Linked DNA regions of Canis lupus familiaris. The protein of the gene in region 1 purifies or fractionates together with the protein of each later gene. This does not show direct contact. Links are inferred from orthologs where the notes say so. Each region holds a gene or a part of one and is shown on either strand. Other genes may lie near its edges. The genes, in order: DRG1, LRRC41 and LARP7.

Region 1 (3,746 bases):
AGTCTGAGCTCAATATCAGCCTCTGTGCTTGTCCTTGTCCCTAACCCCCCTTTTTTTTGTATGTGTACACACTCTCTCAAATAAATATTTTAAAAATGAGTTTCTTCCTAATTGGAATATAAGAAACAAAAGCAAAAAGAGAAAAAAAAAATCAGACTCTTAAACATAGAGAACAAACAGATGGTCACTAGAAGAGAGGTGAGTGGGGAGACAGGTGAACTGGTGAAGGAGATTAAGAGCACTTGTGATGAGCATTGGGTAATGTATAGAATCCTTGAATCACTGGGTGCCTGAGTGGCTCAGGCAATTGAGTGTCTGCCTTCAGTTCAGGTCATGATCCTGCAGTCCCAGGATTGAACCCTACTCTGCATTCAGTGAGGAGTCTGCTTCTCCCTCTCCCTCTGGCCCTCCCTACTCGCGCTTTCTCAAATAAATAAAATCTTTAAAAAAAAAAAAAAAGTGAAAGTGTTGAATCACTATATTGTGCACTATACTGTATACCTGTAAGTAATACAACACTATGTTAAATCAATGCTAGAATTAAAAACAAATTTAAGTAAAAAATAAAAGCTTTTAAAAGATTAAATAAGAGAAAAATGGGTTTCTTTTTTGTCTTACAAACTCTGTGGGAGGGATGTCTAGGTGGCTCAGCAGTGGAGCGCCTGCTTTCGGTTCAGGCCCTGGTCTCAGAGTCTGGGATCGAGTCCCGCATTGGGATCCTTGCAGGGGGCCTACTTCTCTATATCTCTGCCTCTCGTGAATAAATAAATTTAAAAATCTTTTAAAAAAAAAAACAAAAAAAAAAACTGTGTGACTGACCGGGTTTTTGTTTTGTTTTTGTTTTTTTAAATAATGGCCTCAAACAACGTCAAAGCCAAATTCGTGGCCCTCCTCTAGGAATACAGTATTTATGTATTCCTGTAAACCAACGAAAACCTATTTTGGATCACCATGGGATATACACAAGGGTGCCTGGCTGGCTCAGTTGGAGGAGCACGTAAATCTCAATCTCAGGATCTTGAGTTCGTGATCCACGTTGTGTGTAAAAAACATAAACTTAAAAAAAAAAAATACAGTATAAAACCCTAGTTCATCCCTTAGACAACATTCATTGGCCTTTGAAACCAGCAGAATTAAACACACTCAAGAATTTAGGATTAGAAAATACACATCTACACTTTTCTATATGACAGCTTAAAGTTCTTTTTAAACCATACACCTGTATTATTTTGAAAGAAATTACATCAAAAAAACACACCAACATTGAAGAAAAACACAAACCTTCTCCTGGCCCACCACCACCACCACCTTTTGGGGTAATGAGTTCTCTACGAAGCTTAGCAAGGCGAGCCTTAAGCAGCCCTAGGTGGTGTGCTGTGGCCTTGTTCTTTTGAGTCCGAGCCATCTGCAAGGGAGGAATCACAGTTATAAATCAGAAGCAGTTCTTACAGGGTAAAATATCCAGAATGAATGCTCTCCCAACTGTGAAGGATTTTTTTTCTAGATCCTATCTGAGGTCAATATACCCATTTTAGTCAGAGTTGGAGTCAAAATTCACCCTCTTCATCACCCAGCCCATTCCCCTCATTACAAAGAGGTCAACTGAGGCCCAAAGTAGAAGGGACAGACCAACCAAGGTCACTGAAATTAACATCCACAAATCAGAGTGAAACTCGGCTGCGGAGTCCTTCTCTACCGCTTGTACGTGGTATGCTCCATCTGACAAGGTCACCACTCTCCAAATTTTAAAGAACTGAGAGCTTCAGACAACAGAAGCACAGCTGGTTCAGGTGGAATCAACAGGCTACCGCAGATGTTATCCCAGATCCATTCCTAGGAGCAATACTCTGGGAAACGCGGTCTACCGAGTAGAGAGATTGGGGAAAGGGGGACGGGTTCTGGGAGATGATGAAAGATACTGGGGTGCGAGAGCGGGTCAGGGCTGGAGGAGGGAGGAGGTGGGGGGGCTGTGCTGCTCACAGAAAAGAAGACTGAGAAGAGCGATATTCGGACAGGAGCCGAACACTAGAACGGGGCACTGACCAAGCAGCAGGGGTGTGGAACGCGGGCCCCGGCTGAGGGGAGTCGGGGGGCTCGGCGCCCGGCTGAGGGGAGTAGGAGAACGCAGGCCCGGTCCTGACGCGGCTGAACAAAGTACGGGCAAGAGCAACGCTACCTAAGAAAGAACACTCCGAGGGAGAGTGAAGCGCCAGCTGTGCCCATTACCTCGGCTTCGATCTCCGCGATCTTCGCTAAGGTGCTGCTCATGATGGCGAGTCCCTGGGAGGTCGCTGGGGAGCGTAGCGGCCTCCGCACAGATGACCACCCCTCACACAAACGCCGGCGGACCTGCCCAGGCCAGCAGGCGCTACCGCAGCGCGCAAGCGCGGGACTTCCTACGTCTCGCGAGAGAGTTCAAGGCGCAGCTCACCGCGAGACGTACGGCTTGGAGTGATCTCTTCCCCCCTCAGCCAACCCCGCCCCGTCCCGCGAGCCAGCGCGGTGTCATAGAGCCCGCGGGAGCGGGGGCCAGAGAGGCCGCCCGGGTCTGTACCTCCCCGAGCGCGCGGAGGGTCGCGCGCCGCTCGGCCCCGCCCCGCCGGACCTGCGCCCACGCACTGCTCGGCGCCCGGCGCCCGGCTCGTGGTGTGCGAGGAGCGGTTTCTGGTTACTGCAAGCTGCACCCGCAGCCTCCGACCCGGGGCGTGGGCGCGGGGCGGGAGCGGAAAGCGCTCTCAGGCGATCCACTCGGCTCCGCCGGCAGCGAGGGGTCCTGAGCCCCCCCCTTCTGACACCCGGGGAGACCCCCCGGCGGACTCCTCGGCCTCCTGGATTGAAGAGAGACCGATCTTCAGCCTGTCTGGCCCTCTTGAAAAAAGAAAATGCACCCTTTCGGTCACTCAAAGCTATATTTAGGGGTCTGTTTTGTTAATCCCCAGCCCTGAGTACAGTGCGTGGCACATGGTGAGCCTGCAGTAAGTGCGTGATTGATTAGATAATTGCCCGAGAACCAGTGCTTGCAACATAGCTTGTAATACTGAAAAATTTGAAGCTGTGTTAAGGCTCATCAGTAGGGAAATGGATAAATAAATGGCACCTGTGTGCTGTAAAAAAAAAAAGTATTGCAGTCGTTAAAGCAGATCTGTGTGGTCTGACTGGAAGGATGTCAGGACATACTGCTTACAAAAGAATAAATGCACCTACGTTGTGATCCCACTTAATGTATTTCTTAAATGAGTTGTTTAGGGATCCCTGGGTGGCGCAGCGGTTTGGCGCCTGCCTTTGGCCCAGGGCGCGATCCTGGGTCCCCAGGATTGAATCCCACGTCAGGCTCCCGGTGCATGGAGCCTGCTTCTCTCTCTCTCTGTGTGACTATCATAAGTAAATAAAAAATTTTTTAAAATGAGTTGTTTATATAGGTGTACACGTATGAAAATGCATTGTTTAAAGGTCTGAATTAAAGCATACAGTCTCAGGCTCTCAACAGTGGGGTGGAATGCAAGGAAAGAGGGAAAAAGACTTTTCACTTGTTATTCTACATACCTGTGTCTTCTAAATTACTTAAAAGATGAATGTTATCTATGTATTACTTGTGTAATAATAAAATTTAAAATTTCAAAAGAATCCTCTTCCCCAAGTGTCTTGTGAAGAGGAAGCCGGGATATTCAGGAGCTATGTGCTGCTTTTGAAAGCGGCTTCCTGTGGGATCAATGAATTCTTGTTGATAGATTGATTGATCCACTGGG
Region 2 (3,746 bases), on another chromosome or scaffold:
ACTCCAGGCCTCCTCACCCAGTCCTCTTCCCTCCTAGCCAAGTTTAGCATCCTAGAAGTTCCAGGCTGACACAGCCAGTCTTCTCTGCCTTCTTCCACTTCCCAGGACTTTCCAGAGCCCCCTGCCCAGCTCCACTGAGGCTTCTCCTATTCCCCATGGGTCAGTCTGACCCTTCTTCTCTCAGCTGTTGGCATAGGGCCTCCACAATCCCCTCCCCCTACCAGCTTGAGGACTTCTAACAGTCTTTCCCACTACAGGAAGACACTTGGGCCTCTTTAGGACCAGCGCCCCACCCCCACCTCACCAAGGGCCTTCCCGCATCCCTGGGCCTTCTTTAGCCAGTCTCCAGAGTCTCCGGGCTTATTCCTGGAGGCCCAACCCCCCAAACTCCAGGGCCTTTTCTTCACAGCCACCTCCCCAGGTGCAACCCCCCCAATGCCCCCAATCCCAGGATCTCAAGCCCTCAACCTGACCTTACCAGGGCCTTCCTCCTGGCAAGACACTACCACCACTCCCGAGGCCTTCTTCAGAACCCCACCCCCTCACGGCCTGAGGCCTCCTCTCCTGCCACTCCTTCCCCCTTCTCTGGGCCCTAGGCCTGGCCTGGATCTCCTCACCCAACTTCGGACCCCACCCCCTCCACCACCAGTCTGTCAGGCCCAAGGCCGCCCTCAGCCCTCATCCCCTGTGCGGGCAGGCCTACCCCCCCTCCCCTCCCCACCCAGAGCCTTCGCTCTCCTCTTTCACTCTCACCATCAGGGTTCACAAGGCCAACTCGAGTTTTTCTCATCAGCTGCCAGTCTGGGTCCAGGGGCGCCCACCCCAAAGCCCGGCCTCCGCGTGCCCGTCGGCTGCGGGCCTCCTCTCCGGCGCTACCTGGCCGGCGCCGCCCGCCCTACTCCCAGGCCCACCGGCCCGGCCCGACCCGTCAGTTTGTCCCGCCGGGCCCCTCCGCCCAGCGCCGCGGGCCCGCCTCTGCCGCTCAGCCCCGGCCCGACCGTCCCGGCAGCTCAGGCCGGGGCCTCCTGTCGCTCCCACTCAGCCCAAGGCTTCCTCGCCGCGACGCGCCCCCTCCTCGCCGGGATCGGGGGGGCCTCCCTGGCCCTTCCCGCCTGTCCTTCATTCGAGCCTCCCTCGATTGCTGGACCCGCTCCGGCCTCCCTTCCCCGCTCGGGGCCCTTCCTCCGCGCAGGCCCATCCGAGTGGCCTCCGGCGCTCGCTGCTCTGCCCGTCAGTCGGGCGCTCAAGCAGTTTGGCACCCGAGGCCCCGGTCGTCAGTGCGCTCCCTTCAAGCCTGGGTCGTCGGACAGGCCGCGGCGCTCCAAGCCTTCTGGCCTCTCCCCGGCCCCTCGCTCGCCCATCCTCCGGGCTGCCTTCGCCCATCAGCCTGCCCTCCCGAGGCTCGGCACCCGCGGTCTGTCAAGCAGACGCGGGAGGCCCCGCGCGTCAGTCAGGCTAGGTGGCCCGGGGCCTGGCCTCCTCGCCCTAGGCCGGGACTCCCAACCTCGGCCCCCGCCCCCGAGCGGCAGGGCCATCCCTGGCCGTCGGTTCGGCATCCGAGACTCCGCAGCCCCGCTGGCCCCGAGCGTCAGTTCGGTGCCCACGGCCGGCCCGTCATTCCAGCTTCTGCCGCCCGGGCCCTGCCCGTCTGGCCCCAGACCGGGCCTCCTGGCCTCGCCCCCCGCGCCCCCCAGCCAGGCCGCGGCGCGGCTCCACCTGCCGATTTGCTCCCCGCCTTTACTCTGCACAGCCCGGTCAGTCACGGAATTCATGTTCCGACCCGACGGTGTGGCTTCTAGTGCCCCGGGCTGGGCCTTGCCCCAGGCCTCCCGGCCTCGCCCCCCGTGCCCCCCGGCCGCTGGGCCGCCTCCGCTCGTTGCCAGAGGTAGCCCCTCACCCCGCGACTTACCCCACACCCCGCTCTCCAGAACCCCCATATGGGCGCTCACCGCCCGCCCGCACAGCTCGAACAGGGCGGGGGGAGCGCTGGGGCCCGAGGCCGAGCTCTTCGCTGGCGCCGCCTCCCGGGACGTGGCCTCCATGGTCGTTGCCGCCGCTACCTCACAGAACCAGCAACTCCGGGCGCGCCAGGCCTCGGGCGCCGCCATCTTGGGGAGGTGCGCGAGCCCGAGAGTGGCGCCCGCGGGCCGCCATCTTGAAAAGGTCAGCAGTTAGGACGGTTTCATCAGCGATGTGGGTAATACTGGGAACTGCGCTAAAGGAACACCGAATAAATCCGAATTCTTCCCAAGTCTCTTAGGAGCCAAAATCTTAAATTAATTCGGAGATCGACGTAGTTGGCCCCGGCGCCATGAAGGGGATATTTCTTAGCAAATCCTCCTCAGGTGCAAATACCAGCTCCCCCCATCCCCTGCGTATGGACGGTAGTAGATGCCAATCCGAGCGTGTGTTCGCGACTACGACGAGTCTGCCGCACTTCCGGCCAGACCGCCGGATATCCGCCGAGTGACCCTTACAAGTCCTTCTTGATCCTGAAGTGGAGTAGGTGCCGCTGTTGCTGCTGGTGTTGAATTCAGAACTGTAGCGGGACATGGGGCTGGAGGACGAGCAAAAGATGCTGACCGGGTCCGGAGATCCCAAGGAGGTAAGGCAGGGCGACCGACTCGACCCTCTTCGCTGCCCGGAGGGAGGCTCAACACCTAGCCCGCCAAAACCCACCGGGCCCTGTTGGCCCTGGAGTCGCCCCTGGAGTTTGCACCGTCCGGATTGCTGGTTCCCTTGACCCTTCCCCAGAATTTGTCGATTCATCTTGGACAAGTAGATGACTAGCCTTTCTCTAGCTCCTGGTTTCCCCCGTCTGTGAATGCAGTGAAGGTGTAACGACAAAGAAATGCTGTGTCGCCTAAACTTTTGTAAAAATTGTATTTTTATTTTTAGTCGGTCAGGTGTTCCGAGACCCTAGTTTGGCAGGTTTAGAGAGCAGGCTGACCAGCGCTAGTGCTTCTCTCCACTCGGGTCAAGAATCCTGCCACATTTTCTGTGCAGGTTCCGAAGATCTGGCCTTATGCTAGTTTCTGTAAAGAAGTGGTGGTTTCTTTTTTTCGGTAGGGGTGAAGGTGGGAGATATATTTGGGGACAGTGTAGGAATGTGCCCCATAATTCTGTGCTGATGGAAGAGGGAGCTCTTTGCCAGAGTAAGAATGCCAATTTAATAATTATTTTTTGACTGCTTACTATTCCAAGTTATTTATATGTACCAATCCGTTTAAGCGACACACTAGTCCTAGAAGGTGAGTATTGGGTACTGTTCTTATTGTCATTTTACAGATGAAAAACTAGCACAGAAAGGTTAAATGTCTTTTCTAAGGACCACAGCTGGGAAATCATGGAGCCAGGACTTGAACCCAAGCAGCATGGTTTCTGACCCAACCAAGACTTAGTCACAGTGCTTCACAGCTTTACAGAAGCCAGCTACCTTTGTTTTCCAGTCACATTTCCTATCCTTTGTTCTCTAGTCCCTTCAGGGCAGCTGTTCCAGGTTTATGGGTTCAAAACAGATGGAAACTAGTTTATCCCAAGATTTTTCCTAGTCTTATTATTTTCAGAAAGAGGAGCAGAATGAAATGGAACCAGCCTCAGGATGTTCAGCAGGAAGTATACCAGAAAGTTCAGCACTCCTACCACAGCAGTAGATGAGAAAAAGCAAGGAGTCAGTTTTAAAATTAAGAAAACTGAGGTCTTTGGGGCGCCCAGGTGGTTCAGTTGGTTGGATGTCTGCCTTCAGC
Region 3 (3,746 bases), on another chromosome or scaffold:
AAATGAGCAATAGGAGTCAGAGGGCCTTCTATGCTATGCCAAGTTGTTTGAATTTTCTATAAAGGGAGTGCAAATGGTAGGGTTTTAAGAATAAGATTACATAATCTAACTTGGGTTTTACAAAGATCGCTCTGGTTGCTGATAGGAGGCATAAGGGAGGGTAGCCCTGGTGGCGCAGCGGTTTAGCGCTGCCTGCAGCCTGGGGTGTGATCCTGGAGACCTGGGGTCGAGTCCCACGTTGGGCTCCCTGCAAGGGGCTTGCTTCTCCCTCTGCCTGCATCTCTGCCTCTCTCTCTGTGTGCTCTCATGAATAAATAAATAAAATCTTTAAAAAATAAAATACTAAAATCTTTAGAAGAGGCCTAAGTCCTACGTTCAAAGGAGTAAAAAAAAAAAAAAACAAAGGAGTTAAAATACCGTTTACCGTTAAATAGTTGAAATGGTATCAGCTAACAACATGGCATTTAAGTGAAAAGTAAAAACAAAAAAGAAAAAAAGAAAAAATCTGGGGACGCCTGAGTGGTTCAGCCCTTGAGTAGACCTCGGCCTCCCGCTCAGGGCGTGATCCCGGATCCAGTCCCGCGTCGGGCTCCCTGCATGGAGCCTGCTTCTCCCTCTGCCCGTGTCTCTCTCTGCCTCTCTCTCTCTCTCTCTCTCTGTGTGTGTCTCTCATGAATAAATAAATAAAATCTTTAAGAAAAATTTTTTTTCTAAAAATCATCTACGTCAAATGTTGACCCACCTCCAACGGGTAAAAGTTCAACGTGCAAAGTTTTAAAAGCGGTAGGGATACCTCAGATGTCTGCAATAATTATATAACCACAGATGTGCACATTACCTCCCCAAAGACATTACCCATACGTCCCTATGCTGCTTTATACATTCATATATAAAATTCTGTGTTCTCCATAAAATATGAACCAGTCTTATTTATGTTTAAGTACGAGGAGATGTTTTTGGTCTTTTTATTTTGGAACAAGCAAGATCTTTAGAATCCCTAAATAGTTCAGATTTAAAAGTTCCAGAGTCTCAAACCCAGTATCCTGTTAAGAAGTCGCTCAGTCCAAATGACCCAGAGAAGCCCACATTTCATTGCCAAGATAATAATTACCATGATTCTGTGTAACCGAATGGCAGTGAGACTTGACCCTCTGTCAGGCCTAGATAAACACAAAGAGCAAAACTCTCTCTGGTCCTTACACTTATTGCCGGAAGTGCAACGCAGAGGCTGGAAAGGCTGTCACTCCCCACACCTGGTTCCAAACAGCACCAGCAACGGCTCGCTTCCGGCGCAATAGAGCCTCTCAACACTTTGCCCTAAATTGCGACGCCGCCTCTCGTTCACATCCCCTTTCCTATCCACCTTCACTCCCAGAGAAGCAGAGGACTTCACCGGTCCGTAAAACACACGTTCGAATTTCTCCCGCGGAAGGCTGTGACGTCATCAACCCGGGACCGCACGGGATCAGGACCCACTACTCAGCCCGCCCACAAGTACCGACGTTTGCAAACCGCCAATCAAAACTTCTCGTGGTCTGTGAGCCTCCTCGGCCAGCCGGGTAACCCGACGCCCCGCCCCTTGCGCCAGCTCACGCCCGTGACGCAAGCGCCGGGCGCGCCGTCTCCGTCCTCGCGCTCGCCTTTTCGGAGGCGTACGGGAGAACCGTGTCGCCCACCCTATGACGCGGAAACCAGCTCTATAAGGATCTGGAGACGGAAAGGTTGGAGGACGAAATCACCGGCCCAGTATTTTGGGAACTGGACAGAGTAAGTTGGAAGTAAACTGTAGATCGTGTCGCTCAGGTTGAGTGAGGCTTCAAGTCTTCTAAGTCCTTTGTCACGCGCTCCATTCTATCATCTGTCGGCCCTTTCACTTCGTCCCCTCCCACAAGCCCATCGGTTTGCTCGTCCTGTTCCTCTGCGCACGCGCAAAGGTCCTTCAGCGGCCCTTGTAGTTCCAGTTTTCGGAGATTGGGGGCGCATATCGTCCGGCTTTAGGAGATCGGGGGCCCGCCCGGTATTGGGCAGCGTACTTGGGAAAGGACTGGTGTCGACGGGGGGCCGTAGCCAGAGGTGAAATCGCCGGGCCTCGTAGATGTGAGCGTTGGCGGCCAAACGATAGCGAGTGTGAGCACTTAAGTTTTTAAAGTTAAGTCACTTTCTTATTTTCGGGATTCTAGTTTTTGTCATCAGAGAATCGAAAAATCCAGTTACGGAAGGGAGCTAACAAATTATAAATGTCAGTGGAGTGTACTGAATGCGTTAATAAATGTGCTTGAGGGAAAATAGATGAGGAGGCAATAAATTAGGGGAGACGTGGTGGTGGAAAGCTGGAGAGAGTAAGATGCCATTTAACGTGGGCCTTGAAAATTGAATAGGAGTTTATAAGGCAAGTAAAGACAAGACTAATTGAAAGAACAGGCACGGTGTTCTGGTACCGTTGAATGGTCAGCCATGGTAGAACAATGACTTAACGTTTTTGACACCGTTTCCTCTAAAAATGGTAAAGGCTATGGATGAGCATCCTAGGAAGATGCATGCACGTCAAGACATTTTACGTATGATTTTGCTGGGAAATTGTGGAACACCTTGAAATGGCCAAGAAAAAAGATACTGGATGTCTTCTCTAGCTGGCTCTTCCAGGTTCTCTCTTTCATTATCATTGAGCTATTTTACATTTGTGTTAGTTGTAGGAAACGATTATAATGGAACTTAAGTCTTGTAGTTAATCAATTTTGTAGTTATGGCCCTAACCAGTTTTGCATCTATTAACAAATTCATTTCAGTGTTCCTGATTGCTTAGATCTTTTAATTCTCCTTTGAACTAGTTTTTTAATAGAATATTTTAAAATTTATTATTTATTTACTCTATTTTAAGTAGACCCCATGCCCAATATGGGCCTTGAACTCTCAACCCCGGGATTGAGTCGCGTGTTCTACTGACTGAGCCAGCCAAGTGTCCCCTCCAGAACTAGTTCTTTTGTTTTGTTTTTTTTTTTAAGATTTTATTTATTCATGAGAGACACGGTGAGAGAGGAAGAGACAGAGGGAGCAGGCTCCTTGCCGGGAGCCGAATGCGGGACTCCACCCCCAGACCCTGGATCACACCCTGAGCCAAAGGCAGAAGGCAGATGCTGAACCGTTGAGCCACCTAGGTGTCCCCTGAACTAGTTTTTTAACACTTAACTAATTCCTTGATTAATTTCACTAAAATAAAATATTTGATACGTATTCATTTTATGTTAATTTATATTTAAATTCCTTTGTTTAAAATTTCTCTTTTGGGGCACCTGGGTGGCTCAGCGGTTGAGCGTTTGCCTTTGGCTCAGGTGGTAACACCGGGTTCCTCAGAATGAGTCCCGGGTCGGTCTCCCCACAGGGAGTCTGCTTCTTCCTCTGCCTCTCTCTGTGTTTCTCATGAATAAATACATAAAATCTAAAATAATAATAATAATAAAATTTATCTTTCATCAATTTCACAGAATTCATAGGAATGTTTGAAACTCACCCAAAATTCCATAGACTTTAGGTTAAGAATATCTGGGTCAGAATACAGAATGTATCATGACAGGCTGTAAGAGGTTCTACTAAAAGGTGGGCAGTGTAAGGGAGTCAGACTTACCAGAGCTTGTTCACTTAACTGAGCATGTTTACCCAGCTGATTTTGGCCAATTCACTTAATTTTTAAGCCTCTGTAAAAAAGAATTTGAAAGGAACCACCTAATTGTGATTGTGAGGATTTAAAA

What was found.
Region 2: the proteins of DRG1 (region 1) and LRRC41 purify together in Homo sapiens (affinity purification with mass spectrometry; 3 studies listed by BioGRID and IntAct, counting the BioPlex papers as one, with this or other methods). This does not show direct contact. The link is inferred for Canis lupus familiaris from reciprocal best matches to the Homo sapiens genes DRG1 and LRRC41.
Region 3: the proteins of DRG1 (region 1) and LARP7 purify together in Homo sapiens (affinity purification with mass spectrometry; 3 studies listed by BioGRID and IntAct, with this or other methods). This does not show direct contact. The link is inferred for Canis lupus familiaris from reciprocal best matches to the Homo sapiens genes DRG1 and LARP7.

The regions. Positions count from the first base shown.
Region 1 is NC_049247.1:24,736,164-24,739,909, reverse strand, and holds the start of DRG1 (developmentally-regulated GTP-binding protein 1), read right to left. Parts: upstream 2,393-3,746; 5' UTR 2,269-2,392; coding exon 2,227-2,268; intron 1,406-2,226; coding exon 1,282-1,405; intron 1-1,281. UniProt on the Homo sapiens protein: Catalyzes the conversion of GTP to GDP through hydrolysis of the gamma-phosphate bond in GTP. Appears to have an intrinsic GTPase activity that is stimulated by ZC3H15/DFRP1 binding likely by increasing the affinity for the potassium ions.
Region 2 is NC_049236.1:14,183,529-14,187,274, reverse strand, and holds the start of LRRC41 (leucine-rich repeat-containing protein 41), read right to left. Parts: upstream 2,391-3,746; 5' UTR 2,109-2,390; coding exon 1,910-2,108; intron 251-1,909; exon of another isoform or gene 1-250. Other genes in the region: UQCRH (cytochrome b-c1 complex subunit 6, mitochondrial), read left to right, coding at 2,552-2,605. UniProt on the Homo sapiens protein: Probable substrate recognition component of an ECS (Elongin BC-CUL2/5-SOCS-box protein) E3 ubiquitin ligase complex which mediates the ubiquitination and subsequent proteasomal degradation of target proteins.
Region 3 is NC_049253.1:7,466,397-7,470,142, reverse strand, and holds the start of LARP7 (la-related protein 7), read left to right. Parts: upstream 1-1,589; 5' UTR 1,590-1,767; intron 1,768-1,940; exon of another isoform or gene 1,941-2,149; intron 2,150-3,746. UniProt on the Homo sapiens protein: RNA-binding protein that specifically binds distinct small nuclear RNA (snRNAs) and regulates their processing and function.